4 linked regions of the Drosophila melanogaster genome follow. The protein of the gene in region 2 interacts with the protein of the main gene of each other region in a biochemical or structural test. Each region holds a gene or a part of one and is shown on either strand. Other genes may lie near its edges.

Region 1 (8,007 bases), on a different chromosome or scaffold from region 2:
GTCGCGCTGCAGACAATCCAGCTGGCTAACTGGATTCTTGTTGCCCGGTTGCGAGATGTCCCATACCTTGACGCAGCCCTTGCCGCCCGTGTACACGTACTTTGTGGGATTAGAGATGGTTACCGCACAGACGACCTCTCCATGCGACAGCGTGTTGATCTGACGGGCGTGCCGCGGAATTCCAACACCCACCAACGCGTCCGGCGGGAACGGCACCGGTTGTAGACTACCCTCGCCGTTCATATGGAAAGAGTATGCACTGCAACGGCAAAATGTGTTTATTAATTAATGTAACCATTTAATTAGTGATAAGACGTTTAACGTTCGTAGAAATAGCGATATTATATACTCCTATCTGTGCCGATTCATACATTTATCATCTCCAATCGACTACATTGCACTTTGCATTTTAATCAGTTGCATTGAATTACTTTAAATACTTAATAACAATGCACGACAAAATTCCTATAGTCTACTTTTCGGACCGTAAATTGACATAAATGACTTACGGCTTTCCACCCGTTAGGGCCGAGGGATGTGGAATGCCATTGGTTCGCACATGGGCGTGCGGATCGTACGGCATTGGTGGCGGTCGTCCATAGGCTGGATCTGACGGTGGACGCTGGTAGGGATCGGCCGGCCTTTGATACGGTGCACCCGGATATCCGGCTGGCGGTGGTCCCTGCGGCATCATTTGTTTAGGATTAACGCCTGGCGCCGGAGCAGCGGCGTTCGGTGTCGGTGTGCGTGCCTTGGCGCCCGGTGTACCCGGCTTTTCCATCTAAATGAACGAGATTCAATTAGCTCTAACACTTTCTGGGTTCGACATTTGACATTTGGCTCACATCTTTTGTCTTGAGGCTGGGTGTGGAACGTGACGAACTGGAGCCGGAGCGTGAGGGCGGCCGTTCCTGCTTGATGCCACTACTGCTTGGCTTCTCCAGGCGCTCGCCATTCAAGCTTTCCCGATCGCGCACCTCCATAGACACGTGCTCGCCGTTGGGACGCGGTGAGTGGGATTCCTGCAAGGCACATGTATGCATTAAGTACTGTTTTTGCATTTGATGATAAATGTAATAGCAAAGGTGTGGTTTTTGTTTCTTTTTTTTTTTGGGGAAATTTGGGAGTGGTTGCATTGAATCTGGGCCGACACTCAACTCACCATTTCATTTGCAACATCTACGACTAAATCTTGATCGCTTTTCTCGCCTTCATCCTCCTGGAAATAATTTTGAAAAAAACACAAAAACAATATAAATCAAAATTCATACAAAAACCCACAACGAACAACAGCAATAACAACAACCACAATAGAAATAGTTAGTATCTAAATTTTAGGCCCTGTTCTGGTTTTCACATCATTTTACATGGTTAACAATTTAAAAACGCAAACAAACCATGAAGTTACGATTAGTGTTCCTTTTTTAAGTAAGACAATAAAATCAAAGAAATAAAACTAGTTAAAAGCATAGAAAATGTATATAGTTTACACATGTTCCACACTACTATTAAAATTTATAATCTAAAACAAAGTAAACCAGTCATAATTATAAATCATCTCCAATTTACATTTACACATTAGCTTTACAATTTGTGGAATATTAGAAACAAAATTCTATAAGTTGAGATACACCTTAAACCAACTACTAGAAATTGAAAACCGGAACAGGCACCATTAGATCGTGATGTTTTTTTTGTCTCTTAAAAATTAGCAATTTAGGTTTTGTTTAGCATGATTTTGGGGTAGAGTGTTAGCAGAATTAGACAACAACAATGGGTAAACTACGGAATTGAGTTTCTGGTGAGTTGAGAGACAGCAACAGCTCAGATGAGATGACAGTAATCGGTTATGGCAATCACCATCAACGCGATGATCTATGATACTACAAGTGTATAATGCTAACACTGAAAAAAGCTCGATACTCACTTGCAGTTTCTCATCTTTTCGACGCTTCGAGTCGTTCTCGATGTCCAGCGGCGAGCGTGTGCGATACTTCTCACGATCGGCCGGCGAAACCGAATTGCGCTGCAAGATCAGCATGAAAATTAGCTTGAAATATGCAGAATTTTGATCTAGGGCGTGGTACTCACCAATCGCTCCTCGGCGGCTGCTGGCCCCTCTAGACCCGTCGGCTTGATGTCCGGCCTGTGGTGTTCGGGCGGTTTGTTCAGCAGACCTTGCGGTCCGTGTGGCAGGCCCATGGTGGCGCCCAGGGCGCCAAACGGATTCAGTGCGCCCATCGGCTGAGGTGGTCCACCTGGCACCTGCTGGGCGTGGATCTGTTGCTGCAATGGAACCATGAGATCGTATGAAATCGGGCGTGCGCGTTGCTGGCTTTCGGAATAATGAACATCGTGCTTAGTGGGAATATGAAAGCATTGAAATGTGTGTACATATGTGTGTAAACACAACAACGACATTAACACTAAATGGTATTTGCCATATTTTTATTTTGTATCAAAATTTAATTTATTTATCTTTCGATTCATAAGCATAAGCAAAGACCATCTGGGGTTAATGGAAACAGCAACAACAATTGGCGGCATTTGAAGCGTTATTCAAATAATATAAACGTTGACAATCAGAAAAGGAAGAGGAGGTAGTGAGGCACTGGAGCTGTTGTTGTAGTTGTGGCAGTGGCACATTCGGCGGATGCAGCGGCAGACGGCAACAGTAAACAAACAATAAGAAATTAACTTGCAACGAAACAAACTTACTAAAAGTTGCTGAATTCCATGTTGCTGCTGATGCTGCACAACGTTGTTTGGATTGGATTGGTCGAATGCGAAATCATAACAAATTAGGAAGTAGAAAAACAAACTCAAATCAAATGCGGCCCAAGGAACAAACTAAACCGAAACGAAGTTCCCACTTAACGGTTGCCACATTTATGATATGTACTGTTTCATATATACGTTAGATTTCTTATTTTTTATACAATTTTCAAGATATTTGTTATTCTTTGAAAGACTGTATTACAAAGTACCCGGCAAACTAAATTTCTCTGCCTTTTCGGTGTGGCAACCGAATTTCCAATCGGCCATGCCCCCATTAGTGTCTATCTGAGAATGGCTGAAACCGTATTGCTGCTGCCGCAGAATCCATCATCCGTCCTCGATCGACTTACCCCAATGATCAGGTTGAGCTCCTGCATGGTCACCTGCTTCGCCCGCTCCACCGCCTGCAGCACTTGCTGCTGGTGGTCGGCCTGAAGGAATGGAAGTAGCTGGTTGATCAGTGTGTTCAGCCGCTTGGCGATCTCGGTCTGCTTGTGCATCTCCACGTTAAGGCCATAGGACATCTCGTAGTACTGAAAGTTGGAAGGCAAGCCGTGGCATTAGCTAAGGGATCTCGATAATTTGCGGATCATGACGACTTACCATAACATAATGGCGCTGCATCTCCGTCTTCTCGTTCGACAGCTTCTCGCACTCCAATTTAATGCTGGAATTCACAGGAAAAGTGATCAACGGGCAAATTAGTTGGACGACGGAAGCGAACTGAATTCAAGAACGCAAGGAAGCGGCGATTGTGGAGCATGGAGCATTGAGTTGCGGCTGGGGCGGCGCAGGTTAATCCTATGACAGCGGCGCATATGGCGCGCCAAACCGGTTTGCTCAGCTTTTTGTTTTACTTTTCGCAAAACGCAGACGCAGCATCCATCCACACTCACACTCGCACACTTCCATACGATGGCGGTTAAGGCTAAGGCTTAAAATGTGATTTCTTTGGGGCATGTTATTGTAAAGGCTTCTAATAGGTTTAACCTCAACTTAATTATTGGGGCCTAATCTCTAATTGCGTATTGCTTAACCCATGAAAACTATGCCATTGGATTATTTGAAAGTGTGAAGAATTTTACTTTTATCTGACATAAATTTGCGATCATAGCAATTTTAGTGGGCCAATAGTTCTTAGGGCCAATATTCAATGTAGTTTTTTCTTGACATAGCAATTACAAAGATGACATTTGCAGAGAGTGTCATTATGATGGCAAATATTTCCTTGCAAATCTTTATAGTAAAGATTTGCCTTGTATTCACAATTATAATGATAAACCTTGTATATCCCTTGTAAATATGATTCGCGTAATGTTTACATATGTAAACATTGCCGTGTATAGAGTATTCCACCGGATACTTGCCTGTGGTACTGCGCCTGCAGGAAGTTGAACTCCTCCTTGATGCGTTCCAGTGTATCGGCGATGGTGAACTTGATTGGACCCTGAGGTGGTGGTCCCTATTTAGATGTGAATAGAGGTGGTTGGTGTTCCGTACGTGGGCGGCACATGGCGCGGCGTGGTGGAAAGAGACATAAACACAATTAGCACGGATTCGGGGGTCAGAGGTGGGACCCACTGTCGGGTGAACTTACCCCGGCGGCGGGGTGGCGCACCGGTGAGGGATACATGTTGTTAGGCTGGTATGTTGCCGGCTAGAGCAAGAGCGATAGTTCCGAGGTGGACACCGATTTGCCGGAGCGGAAGTCCTGCTGCTCCTCCTGCTGCGTACGCCGCTTCCTTCCTTCCGGTTATCCCTGAGCACTCCACTCCTGCACAGAAACTCCTTGCAAAACGTGGACTAATATCTATCTGTTTGCCAGCGTTTTATGGTACTTGTTTTTTAGCTATTCTTTTTCTTCTGTTTTTTTTTTTAATAATATTTTTCGATGGCAGTTGATCCGCTTTATTAGTATTCCCACAAACGGAACCGGCACTTAGTGGCACTCCATGTCCGGGCTACTTCGCATTTTGCATATCCTGCGAATGGAATTTTACAACAACATATTTGCTTAGTTATGCTTTTTCATATTTTTGCACCATTTTTTTCGATACGTTCGCACGCACGTACATACACGCACACACACAGGCGCGCTGAGCCAGCGAGACACACGCACACTAGCACAGGAAACGGGAGCGAGGGTACGAGTGTGAGTGTTTACCGCCGAAAAATCAAGCGCACAGTTGCATGTGGCCCATGAAATTGTTACGCAAAATCACTGTTTGATTTTCGGGGGCCGCTGGACGCACTAATCCGATTGTGCAGTTAACCGGGCGGGATTAATCCAATGAAAATAAAACACTTTTCTTTCGTAAAGGCAGCACACTCCGCACAAACAACATGCGAACATATACAGACAGACTGCAATTAAACAGGGTTGCCATGCCGTTTGAAACGCGCACAGCAGCAGAAACACAGTTTGCACATTACTTTGATGTTTATTGTTTGTTATTTTTCCGCTTATCCGCATATAATTCACTTGCTTGGCCCTTTTCAATATTTTTCAATTGTACAGCCAATATATTTTTTATGATTTGCCCTGGAGGCGGCAACTCTGTTCGGCGATACGGGCACATACATAGAAACCAGCGAGTGGCCAAATCACACACACACACTCACTCACACGCGCGCAGCGCAAAAGAAAAATTATACTGTGTCCTATACAAAAAATAAACAAAAGCAATTAAAAAAGCGAGATAATGGCAGTACCAGTTTTATGCCCCGGATTAGCACGCTTTATCGCAAGATGTTTCTATGTTTTGCACTTAAATCTCTGGTCCATTTTTTACAGTTTCTTCGTTTTCGCCACCGAAAAGTGGGAAAATTATTTTTTGTAACTTTTCGCCCGTATAAAATTGCCTGTTTCTGCCGACCGACCGCGAAGTGTCTAACATTCGTGTATGTGTTGGGCAGCTTTGGCGGCGGCGCTCTCTCGCTCTCTCACAGGCACACACACACGCAGCGGCTCTCTCTCCGGCTCTACTACACGCGCACTCGCTGTACAAACGCGGCTTGTAAATGGCGTTCTCGTCTCAAATATTTTTGCAACAATTTCGGCACGCCGATTTTCACCTCGGTAGCACTTGGTATCCTCGCCGATTGGGGCAGCTGGCAATTGGGTGGCTTTTGGGGCATCGGCACGGCCCGTTTCTATTTATAATTTCCTATTTTCCTATCCGCGACACACAGACCGCGTCGGTCTCAGGTATGCAATTTGCGCTATCGCCTATCGATGTGTCGAGGGTCTGTTATCGCGGGCCACTCGCTTCAGCGGCGCAGTGTTGCATGCGCCAGTGTTAGGAAGTGCCTGCGCTGAAATCGAACTAGTTACACTCTGCGAAATAATAATCCTAATGTTCAAAGAACTATTACGTATTAAATTATTTATTTACAAACACTACGGTTGCAGAACAACTAATTAAATAGATTCCATGCTAACACTCATTTTTTGCCATGATCTTGAAAAAAAAGTGAAAAAAGTTCCGCAATAAATACGTAACTTAGATCTGTACATGTTCTTCAGGTGCAGTTGGCGCGCTTTTTAAAAATGAATAAATAATTATTCAGTTTATTATTATTCAGTCTGATTTGCTATTTTCAATCTTGTGAACCGTTAAGGACATTACCGATTCAAAAAACTTAAAATTATCAGTGCTAGTTTTCTAAAACACTTTTATTTTAATTAAGTGAAATATATTTAATTTATTATTAAATAGATATAAATAAATAAATATAATTTATTTATATTTATAAATAAATATTTATTATTATAAAATAGATTTCACTTCGGTCATTGCCAAAATAGATTTCCATTGTCAGAGCAGAGATATATTATTTGATATTTCCTAATTGGTAATAATTTAATTACCAATAAGGATTCCAATTGCCACCAACTAAGGGATTGGTCCCTTAGATCCCCTCCCAACATCCCAATAAAGTAAATTGTTTTGATATTTGTTTAAATTGGTTTATATTTGTTTTGCTAATTGCTTTTTTAATTTTGCTATTTTGTTGCCATCACAGTTGGGCTATCACAGATGCGTTGTTGGTTGGTTCTTCCATTCCCATTGCCACTCCACCCTTACCTTCCTGCCACTTAACCCCTTGTTTTTACCAGGGGCGCCACAAGGGCTGCTGCATGGGCTGTGGCGAGGGGGCGGGGCTGTCGCAGTCGCTGTGATATCCGGAGGAGGCGGGGCTGAGCGGAGCCTTGTCCATTGAGGAGCAGTCCATCGAGTTCTGGATGAAGTCGGCGGCGGACTGTGCTTCGTGGAATTGCTGCAAGTTCTTGTAGACGCGTCCCAGGTGAGTCATCACCGATTTGCCCAGGTCGACGCTCATGCCAGGTGTGGAGGCCATGACACGTGACACCTCGTTGACGGCATTCATGTAGCCATTCTTAAAGCTGTCCAGGGGGAGGGATTGTTCTTCCTGAGCCACCTTCTTTGGTGTCTTTTGCTGGCGCATGAAGATCACCGCTGACTCGAGCATCTCGGCCTTGTCCATGCGCAGGATGCCATCATCACCTCGTAGCTCGGCGACAAGTGTTTTCAGGTTGTCCAGGCACTTGTTCATGCGGGCACGTCGCTGGCGCTCCAGCATTGGCTTCTTCACCTTCTGGTAGATCTGGGTCTTGGTGGTGTATTCCATTTTTGTTTTGGTAGTAGGTTACGTAGTTTTAAAAATTTTTGAAAAATTTTGTATTCGGCTTGTTGCTGCCTGCTCGACGGCGTAATCGTGAGTGATATTCTGCTCTGCGAGGTCCCGTCCTTTTATACCGCTCCCTGGTCCCTGAAATCCACCCTCTGATACGCACCTTTCCTGCCCTCTCTTTCGCTCGCACGGCTAAACGCCGGTGTTGTTGTCTTTTTCACAAGGAACAGCTGCAACTTCGTAGGACGGAGGACAATCCTTGTGGCTCGTGGCGTGGGAACCGAGCTGAAAGTAAGTTTCTCACACAATTTTTTCTCGTTTGTTTTCCCTTTTGGCCACATGCTTCGCTCCGCTCCGCTTCTCATTTTTTTTCGAGTATAAGGATCAGGGCACATTTTTGCAGCTGTCGCTGTTTTTGGCTGCTCGCATTGCTTTCTGGGCCGGTGTTATTATCCTTAATGCATACTTCACTGCCTCATCCTGTCGTGTTTGGAATGGGAACGTTCATATATGGGTACATGGGATCGAAGCATGATGAGCAGGGGCAGGGGATCCGAACTGCTTGTGCGTGGG
Region 2 (4,558 bases):
GGGTTTTCCCGGCGCAACCCTCATTCCCCCAACCCACTCGCCCACTTTGGCAGCTGTCAATTAGAGCTTACAGGGAGAAAAAATGAAAACCCGAAGCTTCCATATGTTAGCTGTCCCTCCCACAGGTCTCCGCCCCCAACAGCTGTTGGAAAATGAGATTAGGAGGTGGGGGGTAAGTGGGGACCCAGCTTTATTGGCCTGTAATTGATGCCCAGGCTGCCAACCATATTGCTGATTGAATTGTGGCGTTGTCGCTGCAGAAAAGAAGAAGGGTGTGGATGCACAGTCCAGAGGACTGACTGCTGACGTCGCCACCGAAAGCAGAACCCGTTCAAGCTGCAGTTAAGCAAGTCTTCTGCGGGGAACCCCCGGGGACACAGACTTGTCGAACTCGCATCCTGCTGCGCTACATAAACCCCGAAAGTCCATGCCAGATTTAATGACAAAGGCCACCGCCCATTACAATGTTGCTTAACTACCATAATTATAAACAAAAATATAATATTATGTTTAAGGCTTACCTTCTCTTTACTTTTGTGCTTGGGGGAAATTGCAATTCTTTGAAGCGCTGGCTTATTTACATAAGAGTAATAGGGAATTCACCAGTTTAGTTACCTTTTGTTTGGTTGCGCTTTTCAAGTCTAGGTTTTCCTAAGAATTGTTCTCCATTCCTTATTTTCAGCATGCTGGAAACCATATGCTCTCTTTTGATCCTTTGGTGGAAAAGTACCCCCCGTACCTTTTCTTTGGCTCGGCTAAAAATGTGTTCAATCCACGCAGCCATTTCCATCTCGTTCTATATGTGTGTAATTAAGTCTGTCCACGACGCAAGTTTTCCTCAGCGCCTCTTTTTACCCGGCGGCTGCCCAACTAAACCACTTTGGCCCATTCGCACATCGCAACCCCCTCTCCTCGACCCACCTCAACAAAAAACAAAAAAAAAAAAAAACTATTTCACAAGGTGCCCCTTTGCCGGTTCTTGGCCTCCCTTTTGGCTTTCTCCGCCCCTTCCTTCTGCTTTCTGCTGCCGACGCAAATCCTTACGTGTCAAATGGAGCCCCTCACACTTTTGGATGGCGCCCGAACAGGGACATCCACGTAAGCAATCAAGCACTTAATCGGCTATCCGACGAAGGATTACCCCTTACTGGAATTATTCATACCGGATCATAAATTTGTACAGATAAGACCAGTTTAGAGACAGTACTATATAGTATAGTATAGTAAGTGAAAATCCCTAAACATTTACGTTAAGGTCGAAGCAGAGGATACCCAGGATATTATAGGGTAGCAAGGGAAGGAAAAACCAAAACAACAACCACAGAGAAAGTAAGCAAAAATAATTTCGCGATTCGTCCCCCGGGCAGAGCCCTAAAAGTCGCAATTTGAGGGGTGGAGCCCTTCTCTGGAGCGGCAGGAAGTGGGTAGTGGAAGAGCGGAGACCGGGCTTGCGCAGGCGCCTGGAAGAATCCGAAGCCGAGAAGAGCGGCGAGTGTCCGCTCTCTTTTTTCGGCTCTGTGGCAACAAAGTTTCGGTGCCTCAATTCTTCGATTCAGAGTCTCCACAAACGGCTTCGCGAGCGGACGTTGCAGCCACAGAAGATACAGCCACGGCCGTCGAGGAAGTGGCAGCTACAGAAAGCCAAGATATATATCTGCATATACATATGACTGGCGAAGCTGCTGCGAAAAAGGTGCAAAACAAATTAAGATGCATAAATAAACACCGGACTCGCTGGCAGGTGTTTGTGAACTCTGCTTGTGTGTGTGTGAGTGTGTGTGCGAGTGCGGTGCTGTGCGGTGAAATATTACGAAAGAAAACCTTTTATGTTTTGCAATTTTCCCGCAAACAAATCAACGAGCATAAATATTAATTTTGGCTACACCCAAAATGAGATGATGGACAATAACAGCGGCAAGAAGAAGCGCTTTCAGAAACTTGTTTTAGCCCGGTTTCGGATTTCTCCGTCTTCCTCTTCTCTTCTCGGCGACGTAGTTAACTAAGAGCCGTCGTATTAGACGTTAGTTAGAGAGTGCGTGTAAATTGTCGAAGGGATATTGTGTTTCCCAAAGCCCCATCTGAAATATGTATTCTCACTGTTCATCTCTGTAATGAAAGCTGTGAATTTATCAAGTTACTAATCGGTATTGTGCGGATAATGGCCATCAAAACCTTTTGAGCTACGTTTTTCGATTTTACATTAGGCAAGGGTATCCGTAGGATCCATTTACTCGCCAGCTGCAGAACGAAAATCCATTCAGCAAAACTGTCTCTCCCTTTTCCACTCGCTGAGCAATCCATTTAATAACTTTGGAACCGGCTTGTGTTTGCTTTAATTTGTTGTTGTTTTTTGTGGATTTGTTTTTTGGGTTTGGCAACGAAAGTTGCCAATTAGGTTTAATTTTAGGGGGCTTCGTAGAATTTTCAGCAAAGTGCGTAGAAAAGGGTTTCGTGGTGTGTATCCGTGTGGGCCAAAAGTGCGCTAGTGTGCGTGTTGTTTGTGTGCGGGGCCAAGTGCGTATCTCCCAAATGTTTTTATTGTTGTTTGCTTTTTTCGTTCTTTTGTGGTTTTCATTTTTCGACACCCGAAATGTGTTTGTCTTGTTTTTATAGTTTGCTCTCTTTCACGCCGCTTTTTGCGTAGTTTAAAAGTGGAATCAAGTAAAAAACAAAACAATTACAGTAGAGCCTAGATGAGGAAGTTCTGCGTGCAAGAAACATAAAGTTACCAAGTTGCTGTACAAGCCTTTCCAAGGCATTACAAAATTACTTAAAGCAAAATAAAGTTATTTAGTTCACTAGTTAGTCTCCACTGTCAATATTTGGACAACACATTTGAATGGAAAGTTTCAAAAGCGAATTAAAATATAAACGTATGAATGCCGGGCAGGTGTGCGAGTGTGGTGATATGATATTTTTGGTACGTGATTTTATTCGACCATGCTAATGGCTATTGTGTTCTCCCTCTACTTGCAGATTCTCTTTTAATTTGGCATAAATTGTATTTGTCTTGAAAAAAGCATATTCTTGTAAATATATCCTCTTCGTAAAATATTTTACTTAAAAGCCTTAAAATATTGAATTCACGTGAAATTTCAAACGGTGTCACTCGAAATTCGCCAGTGACTCGCCGCCACGTTTTGTACAAACATAGTTTGTAAACATAAGTTTGTAAGCGGCCGGAAAAAGGCGAACGGAACCCAAAAACCCCAATGCAAGCCAACTGAGTGCAAGGGAGACAGCCGACCACGTCGAGCGGGATAGCATGCGCCAATGAAAACGTCCTACCCCCCAAAAGCGTCCGATTTCGTTGACTACGCCGTTGCCGGGGGCGGGGGATCCGGATTCTGTTCGGGATTAGGAGCGGGACTTTCAGTCAGGGCGACGTCCTTCTACGGCGATCAAACGGTAACGGCAACTACGGACGGGACGCGTCACCAGGAACAACAACAACAACAACTGCAGCAGCAGCAACAGCAGCATATCCTAAGGCAACCTGCAACATCCGCATCGACTTCATCGGTAGCTGCAGCAGCAACCAGCAAGCGAAAACGTCAAACAGGTGAGTTTTTTATTAGCCATCCAAATAGTTACTACAGACGTGCACTAGCTTTATTTGTGACTAGGCTTTCGAAATCCCCACCTATAGGTGTCAAAAGGTTTGAATTCGATGTCGATAACATGTGAATTCGATATATTATGTTATGCAGGCAGTTTTCAGTGTAAATCGGATTCGGATAAATATAAGTTATCGGATAAGTTTTTGCTTAGCTAAGCACCTTCAGCAACCACACGAATGAATCATGGGTAATATGTCCGGTTGATTGCCCCTTCCCGTGGTGATAGCACTCATCGATTATTGTGACAATCGCTTAATTTGCTTGAGTTATCGTTATCACACACGCGCCGTGGGCAAATGCGCCCTGTTGTTTAGTAATACTAGGCGCAATATTTATTATTATTGGTTGCCGTGCCATATTTCTGCCTCTTCTGGGCACTCTTATCGCCCGATTTCCCCCAGCGCCTCCCCTTTTTATTGTTGATTATCACAATAGACGCCATGGCAACTTTTTTCTTCTTTATTTTTGGTTTGGTTGGTGAGAGTGCAAGGAAGCGATAATTCGCATGGTGGTTTGTCGCCGTTTTGTATTTTTTGGGTTTGTGGACATTCTTAGACTTTGTTTTGTACTTCGGTTGGTATCTTTGGATTTTCCACGCTATCCGCGATTACGCTTGCATGCTCGAGCATGTCTGTCTTGGCGCTTGAAGAAGATTCCCTTCCATAATCCCTTTAAAATTTGCGATGATGTTTTCGCTGCTCGACTTGCCTGGCTTCATTCACATTATCTGCTCTGTGAATAGTATGAGTTATTGTTTGATATCTCACAAGGTCCCCCGCACCCCTGTTCCCCGAGCTCATTGAAAATTCCAGCGGACGCAATTACCACCCCAATTGTCTCCCAATCTAAGTTTTCGCTTTTGAGCGGCTCCGCCTCTTTGCTCGACTGTATTTTCAGTGTTTCCTTCGCTTTATTTATTTTTCGCTTATTGCGACTTA
Region 3 (4,988 bases), on a different chromosome or scaffold from region 2:
CAGAAAGAACTCTATAGTGCCTATATCTTAATATACCCTTGGAGACATTTTGCCCGCAAATGTATTATTGATACCCGCCTACCCAGACTTCCATCCCGTTAACAGCATATATATGTAAGTACATGTATTCCAGATCTCGATCACTTACTGAATCGACGACCTAGCCAATCTCCAAACGAAGAGTTTTTTATTGGCGATTCTTGCTATTATTAATATATGGGTGTCGAAACCCTCGGAGGCGGTCTGCATCTGAAGCAGACTAAGCCGAAACGGAACAACTTTTTGCTCCACGAGCATGTGCCGTGTCGTTGGCACGTGCCACGTGGCGATTGCTTGGGCTGCGTTCCATCCTCAGCACCAGTGCGAAGATAATATGATGATAGCAGGGCTGATTCAGCTTCCTGCGGGGGACATACTTTCATGTGCTACCATGTAGCCTAATAAAAACATTTGTTTCCTCCACCTTTAGGCGTTTTATGATGTAATCTGTGCATATTAAATCTTGAATATTATAAAGGGATATGGCAATCGGATCAAATGAAAATGATTCAGTCTTACCTGTAATAATAAAAATTACATGTGCGAAAGTAAGTTCAAACATTTTATAGTCAATGAAACGCCCAGTAAGTTAAGTATTTAGAACAGTTGCGCGCCTAACATTCTCACATATATTCAGATATCGATCGTGCGTGCATTTTATTCATAAAAATGTCAACGGGCTTGGTTAAATTGTTTAGTGATTGCTAATGTTTTTAAAATATGTCAAATATTTCAACCCCAATTCTTTCAGATTTGCTACAAATTTCGACAGAACAAAATTAAATATTATAAATACAATGTAGAACTATTGCAAGGGTACATTAAAAACATTCTGGAAGTGACTTAGAAGTAATATGCATTATTATTACATTTCACTTTTCAGAAGTCATAAGGACGTTATAAACCGTGTGAGAAGAACTCTTCGCATTGGAGAGCCCAATTGTATTGGAAACAGAAAAATTGGCCGGATATTGCTGTTGAATTTTGTGAATTGCACTTAAATCGACATTATCCCATACAGTCGTGTAGGTGCGCTATAGTTTTTTAATATTTCTCTAGAGGATTTTGAAACATGGCCTTTTAGCCATAACACTGGCCGTCCCTTTCAGGCTATTGGCAACTCGTTCTCTCGCTGTGCGGCGCAAAAGCAGGACAGGAACTTCCTCTTTGGGGCCCACCCAGCCTCCACATGTGACGACAGCTTATGGGATGGTGGCTGGTGGGTGTGACCGTGCTTAGGCTTGTCGACATTTTACTAAACAACCGTACGCCCACACCCAGCTCCCCTCGATATGGCTGTGTGTGTAGGCTCGCACTGCCGAAGCGGAAACGTGCGGGTAGTTAACGGAAATGTGAAGCGCTTATTGTATCGGAATGAAACAATTCCATTGGACGAGTGTGCTGCTGGCAACTTGTCTGGCCAGCTTGAATTCAAATGGAATGCAACATGTGTGTAATTGCTGGGGGGGGGGGGGGTGTGGCACTGGGCGACTTCTCGAAAGGCGGTGAAAGCGGCAGGCGCTGCACCGTTTACACACAGTTTCTTGCTGGAAGGAACAACATCCAGTTCCAGACCAGCACTTTCATGTCTGTTCAGGACCAAACCATTCCATTATGTGCTGCTGGTCCGTCTAGAGTTGGTTCTTCCTTTATTTTCAGATTCCGTTGCCACGATATGCTTAACGACACAACGCAGCTGCAGAACTGCACCGTGCCGAATCGCTTTCATCTTCCGCCAACTAACCTTACACGGGTGCGAGAGGGACAACTGGTGTGCTTCAACAACCAATCATGGGGCTAGCCTATAGCAAATGGTGGTGAGTGGACCAGCCATGCTGGTCTTTGCCAATCGCACGCGGTTCCGTGGCAACAAACCCAGCCTTTTGCGCAGGGGGGTGCTGGCCAGCCGAGGGTCGGCCTAGTCTGTTTCTGAAACGGATCCGGGTAGGCAGGTCGTGACATTATTATTTCGTGTTGCGCTTCTAAGGTAAATACTGTTCCGCCGCCGTGTCGCGAAGTTTAAGAAAGGTTGTTCGATTCACCGTGCGTATTAATCTTTATATCAAATGAAATTACCGGCTAAGTTAGCAATCGGTAGACCCGGGAATAATACGTGTTACGTGCAGTACAAATATGATGCTAACATGAGTGCAATCAAAAGTGGCGTTCGAAAAATGAACAAGTGAACTAAAACAAAAGCGGCTGCTCAGTTATATTTGTGTTTCCGAATTCGTAACTCTTAGGTCCTCACGGCGCGATCAACAATAGGTTTTTTGATCACTGCAGGACGTCATTCTCACCATCTGCGCAAATTTACTCTTAACTCTTGCTTGACTCGCCCTGCAAGAGTTCGCACGGCGTGCGTTTGGCTGAACACAGCAGTCTCTTGGCTAAAGCTTTCATGAGCAGTGCATGTAATAAAAACTGAGATCCAACTATGTTTACATTGCAACCAACTCCAACTGCTATAGGCACCGTGGTTCCCCCATGGTCAGCGGGAACATTGATAGAGCGCCTGCCGTCTTTAGAAGACATGGCTCACAAGGGTAAGTGAATTTTTTAAATTTCTTGATTGGCATCATCGTCTTTATCCGACCCTCTTATAAATATATATGAGTCTTAGCCAACACATATGTTAATGCTGCCCATGGGCAGTTGATCCGGTCCTACTAGGCGAGTGCAGTTTCGTTCGGCTGTTGGTCTCTTTTGGCGCAGTTTACCAATAGATAAAAAGCTTCTGAACTGAATCGTTTGCGAACTCTTCTCTCAAACTCAAACTCCCGAGAGTAAGACGGCTTTATACTCCGTATAAATTGTCCAAATCAAAGATATTCAAATCTTCGCCGTGACTCTTATAATTCGAAAAACCTATATTTGTATTATACCCGTAGCTTGTTGCTAATTTGTATTTAAAGTAGTTAGTGGAAGGAAGAGTTCCCGGCTAGTCGATTTTCCGATGACCGTTGGCATGTCTGTCCGTCAGTATTGACGTCGAGACCTTTGGAAGCGAAATAAGTAGGAATTATGCAAATTCCAGTAATGCATACGCAGCTTAATTTTATATTAAACCATTGTCACTCACTCACATTGTAAATTACAACGCAAAGGCGTTTAATGATCAATGGCGTTCCTACGGGCGTATCTCATGCTATCCCGCGCGTATATGATTATTGAGTACTTCATACTAGCTGACTCTTTCGTTTTATACAAATTTGTATACTCGTTACTCATAGATTAAAGGGTTATTAGATTTTTTAAATTTAAAGTATATATATTCTTGATCATGGTCAATCGGTCAATCTAGCCATGTCCGTCTAGCCATGTCCGTCTGCATGGACGTCGAGTTCTTAGGAACTATAAGAGCCAAAAGATTGCAATTTCTCGTTCACACATGCAGCCCAATTACGGGTATTTGATAGTCAATAAACCGGACTATAGCTCTCTTTCTCCTGTTTTAGCTCATAACGCTAACTGAAAAAGATTAAGCGCCTCCTTCTAAAAGCCCCATAAACGGCCCAAGTAGTCTATGGTATATATTCGTTCATACTGGGAACTTTTTAAACTAGTTCTTTTAAGTAATAGCTTAGGTCAAAAGTGATATTCTAGTTGAATTCTTTAACCATTTGGTTGTATACCTAGCTATGATTTATCCGTTTGTATTCTTCACGACTACCTTCTGCACGCAAGTTGCGAAGTCTTTTCCTGCAAGGTTTAAAACTATGCGGCTTACTGCTGAAATCGAAATTAGTTTGATTACTTTTAATACATTTTTTTGCACTTTTATCTCGCAATAAAATGATAACCCAAATACATAGCTTATGTTTTTGGGTTTCAGTTTAATTAAAACAATTAGGTAATCCTGATTTTTCAATTCGTTGCAGGTATAATATATTACAAAAAATAATTCGAATCGAACTATGACCTGAAATTTTATATTGCCAAAAAAAGTAGAGTATACCGAATTTAATTAATACATATAACTGATATATGTAAGAAAATATGTAACTAACAATGTAATGAAATAATTCTAATTCCTATGCAATCTGGCTCAACTTCTTAACTGAAATAAGAGAAAATGTTATAGTAGAGTTTCTCGATCAAACACAGGTCTAATTTAAAATTTGCAGTATTTTAGTTCCCGAATTCAGAGTGTTTAATAATGCATGTTCTTTAGAGACTAGGACAAAAAATCTGCAGAGTGTTCGGCAACTTTTGCAGTAGATTTCAGATTATAGATAGATTACAAAGAGAATAAATAAAACAAAAGAGAATGCTTTAGTCGAGTTCCGACTATCAGATACCCTTCACTTCGCTAGTGGGAATGCAAACGGAATGCAAATATATATGCGGGAATAAAATGAGAAAATATTTAAAAATGGTTTGAAAGTGTGGGTGTGGCAGTTTAGGGCGGTTTTAGTGCGTTTGAGTGGGTATTCTGTATTCTGTATGCCTCTGTATGAGATCTGGACGTTCATACGGACGGACATGGCCAGAATGACTTAGCTTTGATCCTGATCAAAAATATATATACTTTATGTGGTCGAAACGCTTCCTTCTACCTGTTACACACTTTTGAACGAATCTAGTATACCCTTTTACTCTACAAGTACTAGTACTTAAAATATGTTACATTTTTATAAACACTTAAGCAAGTTCAAAGTTGGTTCAAATTTAAAGATCTATTCCACTATTATTATAAATGAATTCCAAGTACAAACTGACTTCTTGATACGAATTTTACTCCTTTGATTTTCTTTTTTATAGACAATGTGATTGCAATGAGAAATTTACCCTGTTTGGGTACCGCTGGTGGTAGCGGACTAGGCGGTATTGCTGGGAAACCTTCCCCTACTATGGAAGCCGTGGAAGCCAGCACAGCGTCACATCCCCATTCGACATCTTCATACTTCGCCACAACTTACTACCATTTAACCGATGATGAATGTACG
Region 4 (4,866 bases), on a different chromosome or scaffold from region 2:
CAAAATGGTTTAGCCCACAGCTGATGAATTTTGTTCGCTATAAGCACATGCGACTGTAATACTGTAATCGCTTTTCGTTTCATTTCCCAAATCGATTAAGCGTTTTTTCTTCGCCATATCCGTCGAGTGGGCCACGCACTTGAATGGAGTACTGTGTTGGGATGGAGGGCGCGGGCGGAGCCTTTAATTGCATGTTGCCGCTTACTAATTAAATTCTGCACAGCAGCAGCGCCAGAAAAAAGCAAAGGCAGAAGCCAAGAAAAATGTGCAGCCAACTCGACTGCGAGTTCGGGAGACGGGGTACGAGAACAAGGTCCCCGGAGAAGACCAAGGAGCGATGGCAAAAGGGTGGCGTGGGTTGGAGTGCCACGTGCAAGTACACGAGTCCTTGAATGTGTGTGTGCGTAAGTGGATAGCATGGGGAGGGAATGGAGTTTCAAAGGATAGTGAGCAGCGGCCTACTCAAGGGGGTTTCGGGGTTGTACAGCAATTAGTTGAAAACTAAACTAAATACTTAATAGTGGTCGAATTAAAAGGCCACTTCCTAAATGGCTATGAACTGTTCACTACTGTCGTCCTAGATATTGACATTCCTCGACTTTCTGTGGCAAAAGTGATGGGAGTTCAATGAAGCCAACATGCATTAACGAGCTCCTCCCCTTTGGTGAAGTCCTCTCCTGCGCCTCTGAGAGCCTCACCAACGCGCTCTGCAAATCAAGTGTCAAAAAGAAATCTTCTTTCCTACTCCGTTTACTGCGTCAGCGGAAAAGTGTAAATTTCAAACTCCGAAGTAGAAGGGAGCGCTTTTTTTTTTGATGAATCGGATATAAGCACAGGCCGCTGGTGGTTGATGGCCCAACAAAAAAAAGATCATCAAGCATTACAAGTATGTAGATGTACACAAATTATTTGTCTGGGGTGGATGGATATAGTTGTTACCCTGTATTCTGCAGACAACCCACAAAGGGAATATCAGAAACAAATGACAAAAGCAAATACTTTATGTCAAATTTGCCAAATTTGTCAAAAACAAGCATCGCTCCCTCATTTAACGTTGGAGAGGGGTTGTTATTGTATTGCGATACGGGGATAATTGTTTCACAGATACAATGCGCTGTTGCATCCCCTTCATAGGGCCATGTATTCTGACTATTTATCCTAAATGTTCTAAACTCTAGAGCTACCATGACTTAATTGCGTCCATTGAAACGCAATATCATCTCTAATTTGATGAAATCGGATCCTGTATACAACTGCATTTGGACTGGGTATACAAAAGCCCAAAGTGGAACACTCTGATACACAGTTAACTTTGATGCTCTTTGCATACTCCCTGGAAGATGGGAAAGGGAAGAGTACCGCTGCTGGAAATACTTACTGGTTCGATTCTGGGCTGGCATGTAACTCATCTTGGTGATTGAGGCGCTTTACACCACACCTGCAAGAAAGAGACGGAGAGTATATGAGTAATGTGCTGGACAGTCAATAACATGGAGTTCGTGTGTGCTTCGGATGGAGACCACGGAACTCCACTAAATGGGGGCCCCGGAAAGAAGGGCTTGTTGTGTTTGCAGACTGCCAACAGACGCAGATATCGTCCGTTAGTCACTTATTCTAGTCGTTGGTCTTTTTTTTTAACTCATTTCCGCTTTGAGATGCCGAAGCATAATATGAAATATGCTGCGTATACAAACAAACGCACTAATACATTCTTACGCAGGTAGAACGGGTATTTGTGGGTATGTGTGTGTCTACCTGCCGAAGACTTTGGCCACGAACCTTGAGTTATTTAATTACTTTGTTTAGCACTCTTTCAAATCTCATGCACTCCAACAAAAAACAAAATGGATTTTTCACTTCTCTCGAAAAAGGCGCAGCGGAAAATGCGACCGACCAGCACGCTCGTTTAAACGGAACAGAATCCAGATGCGGAGAGCGCAAGCAAAGCAAGGCACTTGCAACACCGCGCGTGCGGAGTGCGGGAAAGGGACAGGGAAAGAGACTGGGAGAGAAAGTAAAGGGCCGCGGCAGTGCAGCATACAAATGCAGTGCTGCGCAGAGTTGCCACACATCCAAACGATTGTGCCTACACACACATACTCGCGTAGGCAGCTCAGAAAGAATCCCAACTCCATTTCAGTTGTCGATTAGATAAAACACCTAACGATAAGCCTGCCTCTAGATTCGAAGAAAACGATTTCCTGTCTGTGGCATTGTTTACATTCCAGCGAGCAACAAAACAAGCGCCCGATTTACGGGGGAGGAATACATAAAAATGCCGTTTGTGTGTATCCAGATCATACACACACACATACACAGGCGCACATCCAGCGAACCCCTGCCCACCCCCGCGCCGACTTGTTTGCCATGGCTTTCCAACTTTCATGGCACACAGAAACTTTGGCTTTCCAAACGGATTCACTACCGACTAACAGTACTCACCGCGTCCAAGGAATTTAAGTCTGCTTTAGAGCAGGATTTATTTATTTAAAACGCTATAAGAAACAAAATAACAGCGAATTGTCTGCTCGAGAAAAACTGTGTATATGGCGACGAAACCCAACTAGCGATGGCCTGCTGCTGTCCCGATAACTCGATGGGCCCTGTGCGATAGGCCAAAGGAATTTTTCAAATTTTTTTTGTTCTGAGAACACAAAAATCTCACGAAATTTGTATAGCATTTCATCCTTAAGAAACTCAATTCACAATATTTATAATTTAGCTAAGGCGAATTTATTTCTAGTTCATGTTATCATGTTATCTCGAACTCACCGTTTATCTTGTATAAACATTTACCAACACAAGCACCTGAGTGTACATGAGGGTGTATGACAACACAGGTACGACCAAAAACTATTGTTTTTGGGCGACGAATTAAAGAAATATCTATGACTTTACTATTACTTACCGCTTCGAAAGTAAATTTATCTGCTCAAAGGCAGGTTAACGCACTTTTGACGCACTTAGATATTTAAATTCGACAAAAATCCCCGACTATGAAAACTGTGTATATGAGCGCAGAACAGATAACCGATAACTCCTCTATCGCAGGTGGCTGCCAACTTGCTTCAAAATAGAAAGCGCACTTTTTAAATTTCCAAAAGTATTCAAACACTGGTCTTTAATTTCTTAATACATATTTAAGTTGGGCAAGCAATATTGGTTTATGCAGTCGTAGAAGTGGGTTCATCGGTTATGGTCACAGCAGCTGGCGGCGGATCGCCGGCCTTCCGTTGATCCCTAAAGAACATGACCCACGCGCTCTTATGGATCTCTATTCCATCACATAGGCCATACACCTGGGCAAATCCGAAATAGGCAGCAACAGCGGCGACACCGAAGAGAGGTACCATTATGACTAGTCCTCCCAGGCAGGCGAAGAACACCATGGACACAATGGTCAGGAGTGTGCCTAAAACGAGTCGATAAGAACGTGATCTCTGGTAAACACTACGGAACGCACCTTCTAGCACCAGCAAACCTGTAAAGGTCATAACCATGGTGGCTATTCCAAACCCAAATATTATAAGGAAGGGCAGCATGAATACAAGACCACCAGCTAGCAGGCAGATAGCAACGTGCGGATTCCGGGTGCACCAGGCCGCGGTGGCCTCCAGGAAATCATTTCCACCTAGCTCGGACATCACAAAATCTGCCAGGCGGCAGATTTGAAGCCCTGCAATATGGCAACGTTATAACAAAGGCAACTTTTGTTACGCGGTGTGATGCATAAAACAGGTTAACAACCGTACAGAGTAGTACATATATAAGTAACTAATTGTGGCAGTAAGCAATTAAGCGCTTTTACAGATAGTACTTCAACTAGTGGACATACATGACCTGTAGAGAGTCTGGAGCAAGCTCTCCAGGAACTGGTCGCCAGTCAGAACTCCTGCACTACGATCGCCTGGGCCATGTATCTTTACGTGCTCCGGTTTGCTCTCTGTTCCCGATCCCGCAGACTTCTTGGCGTTTGCCTCTTTGGCTGCTTTGCGAGCCTTGTTCGAGTGAGCCTGCAGAGTCGATCAAATCAAATCAGTTATGAATATTATGTGAGTCAAAGAACCCAAGTGATTAGATGCCGGCTGCCACTGAGTCCGTGAAACGCGACCTTTGACTTGCGATGCCGATTCCAGCCGAAATCTACGGATTCTTCCGAAGATGCCGGAACACCCACTTCACTCACACCCGTACCCACCATGTTGCGTGGCTACTGCGAGAATCTCAGGCGGTTGCTGTGCGCATTACAGGAGGAGTCTGTTCCAGGTTCATTCGCCTGCTTGAAGCAACAGTAAATGAAAACAATATAAATAAACAAAAAATAATCGACGTCGTAGCCCTGAAACTAAATCATCGAGGGAGAGCTGCCACCTTTTTTTTTACTAAATTTGAATTAGACAAGATGCGTTTCTTAATAATGATCTAGCGTGGCTTAGTTTTGCTTTTTAATCATAATTAATTTGTTTACAAAAAAAAAATTAACACTATGTTAAAAAAAAAATTATAAATTTATAATGGCGGTCAGCGTGCGACATTTCTTCGCCGTAGGATTAGTGAAGCAGGAATCTGAGTCCGTTAAACGGAGGACGCGCCGTAATCCTCTCCGCCACCAAGCGCTCCCCGTGAACAGTCATGCCGCAGCGCACCTTCTTGGCATGCAGAAAGTTCAGATCGGCGGCTCGCTCTCCACTTTTGAGCGGCAACCAGCCGTACACCTGCGACTCCAGGAGCGGAACAGCTTTTCCGAGCTGCCTCTGACGCTCCACATGCTTCTCAGGCCAAGTGTGCCGTAGGTACCTCAAGGTATCCGTCGGCTGGCGTTGCTCATACTGGGCGTAGAACTTCCGTGTTAGCGGATGAACTGGA

Evidence for each region.
Region 1: of the proteins of Hipk (region 2) and gro, one has a biochemical effect on the other in vitro, tested with the Drosophila melanogaster proteins (4 studies listed by BioGRID).
Region 3: of the proteins of Hipk (region 2) and ey, one has a biochemical effect on the other in vitro, tested with the Drosophila melanogaster proteins (one study listed by BioGRID).
Region 4: of the proteins of Hipk (region 2) and arm, one has a biochemical effect on the other in vitro, tested with the Drosophila melanogaster proteins (one study listed by BioGRID).

Annotation. Positions count from the first base shown.
Region 1 is NT_033777.3:26,039,748-26,047,754, reverse strand, and holds the start of gro (groucho), read right to left. Parts: upstream 6,020-8,007; 5' UTR 5,854-6,019; intron 5,676-5,853; exon of another isoform or gene 5,491-5,675; intron 5,115-5,490; exon of another isoform or gene 4,943-5,114; intron 4,936-4,942; exon of another isoform or gene 4,852-4,935; intron 4,761-4,851; 5' UTR 4,412-4,760; coding exon 4,376-4,411; intron 4,241-4,375; coding exon 4,146-4,240; intron 3,446-4,145; coding exon 3,382-3,445; intron 3,312-3,381; coding exon 3,129-3,311; intron 2,752-3,128; coding exon 2,719-2,751; intron 2,287-2,718; coding exon 2,092-2,286; intron 2,027-2,091; coding exon 1,928-2,026; intron 1,220-1,927; coding exon 1,163-1,219; intron 1,023-1,162; coding exon 846-1,022; intron 782-845; coding exon 510-781; intron 260-509; coding exon 1-259. Other genes in the region: E(spl)m8-HLH (enhancer of split m8, helix-loop-helix), read right to left, coding at 6,892-7,431. UniProt on the Drosophila melanogaster protein: Transcriptional corepressor that regulates transcription when recruited to specific target DNA by hairy-related bHLH proteins. Maternally required for neurogenesis; in the segregation of the neuroectoderm. Directly or indirectly interacts with Notch and Delta.
Region 2 is NT_037436.4:544,506-549,063, forward strand, and holds the start of Hipk (homeodomain interacting protein kinase), read left to right. Parts: upstream 1-1,553; 5' UTR 1,554-1,693; intron 1,694-2,976; 5' UTR 2,977-3,273; coding exon 3,274-3,562; intron 3,563-4,558.
Region 3 is NC_004353.4:702,689-707,676, forward strand, and holds the start of ey (eyeless), read left to right. Parts: upstream 1-1,962; 5' UTR 1,963-2,476; coding exon 2,477-2,585; intron 2,586-4,740; exon of another isoform or gene 4,741-4,803; coding exon 4,804-4,983; intron 4,984-4,988. UniProt on the Drosophila melanogaster protein: Involved in eye morphogenesis.
Region 4 is NC_004354.4:1,897,602-1,902,467, forward strand, and holds the start of arm (armadillo), read right to left. Parts: upstream 3,046-4,866; 5' UTR 2,909-3,045; intron 2,573-2,908; exon of another isoform or gene 2,443-2,572; intron 2,010-2,442; exon of another isoform or gene 1,703-2,009; intron 1,439-1,702; 5' UTR 1,410-1,438; coding exon 1,379-1,409; intron 1-1,378. Other genes in the region: Ldaf1 (lipid droplet assembly factor 1), read right to left, coding at 3,165-3,412, 3,464-3,676, 3,836-4,013, 4,112-4,201; CG32801 (uncharacterized protein), read right to left, coding at 4,551-4,861. UniProt on the Drosophila melanogaster protein: Isoform neural may associate with CadN and participate in the transmission of developmental information. Can associate with alpha-catenin.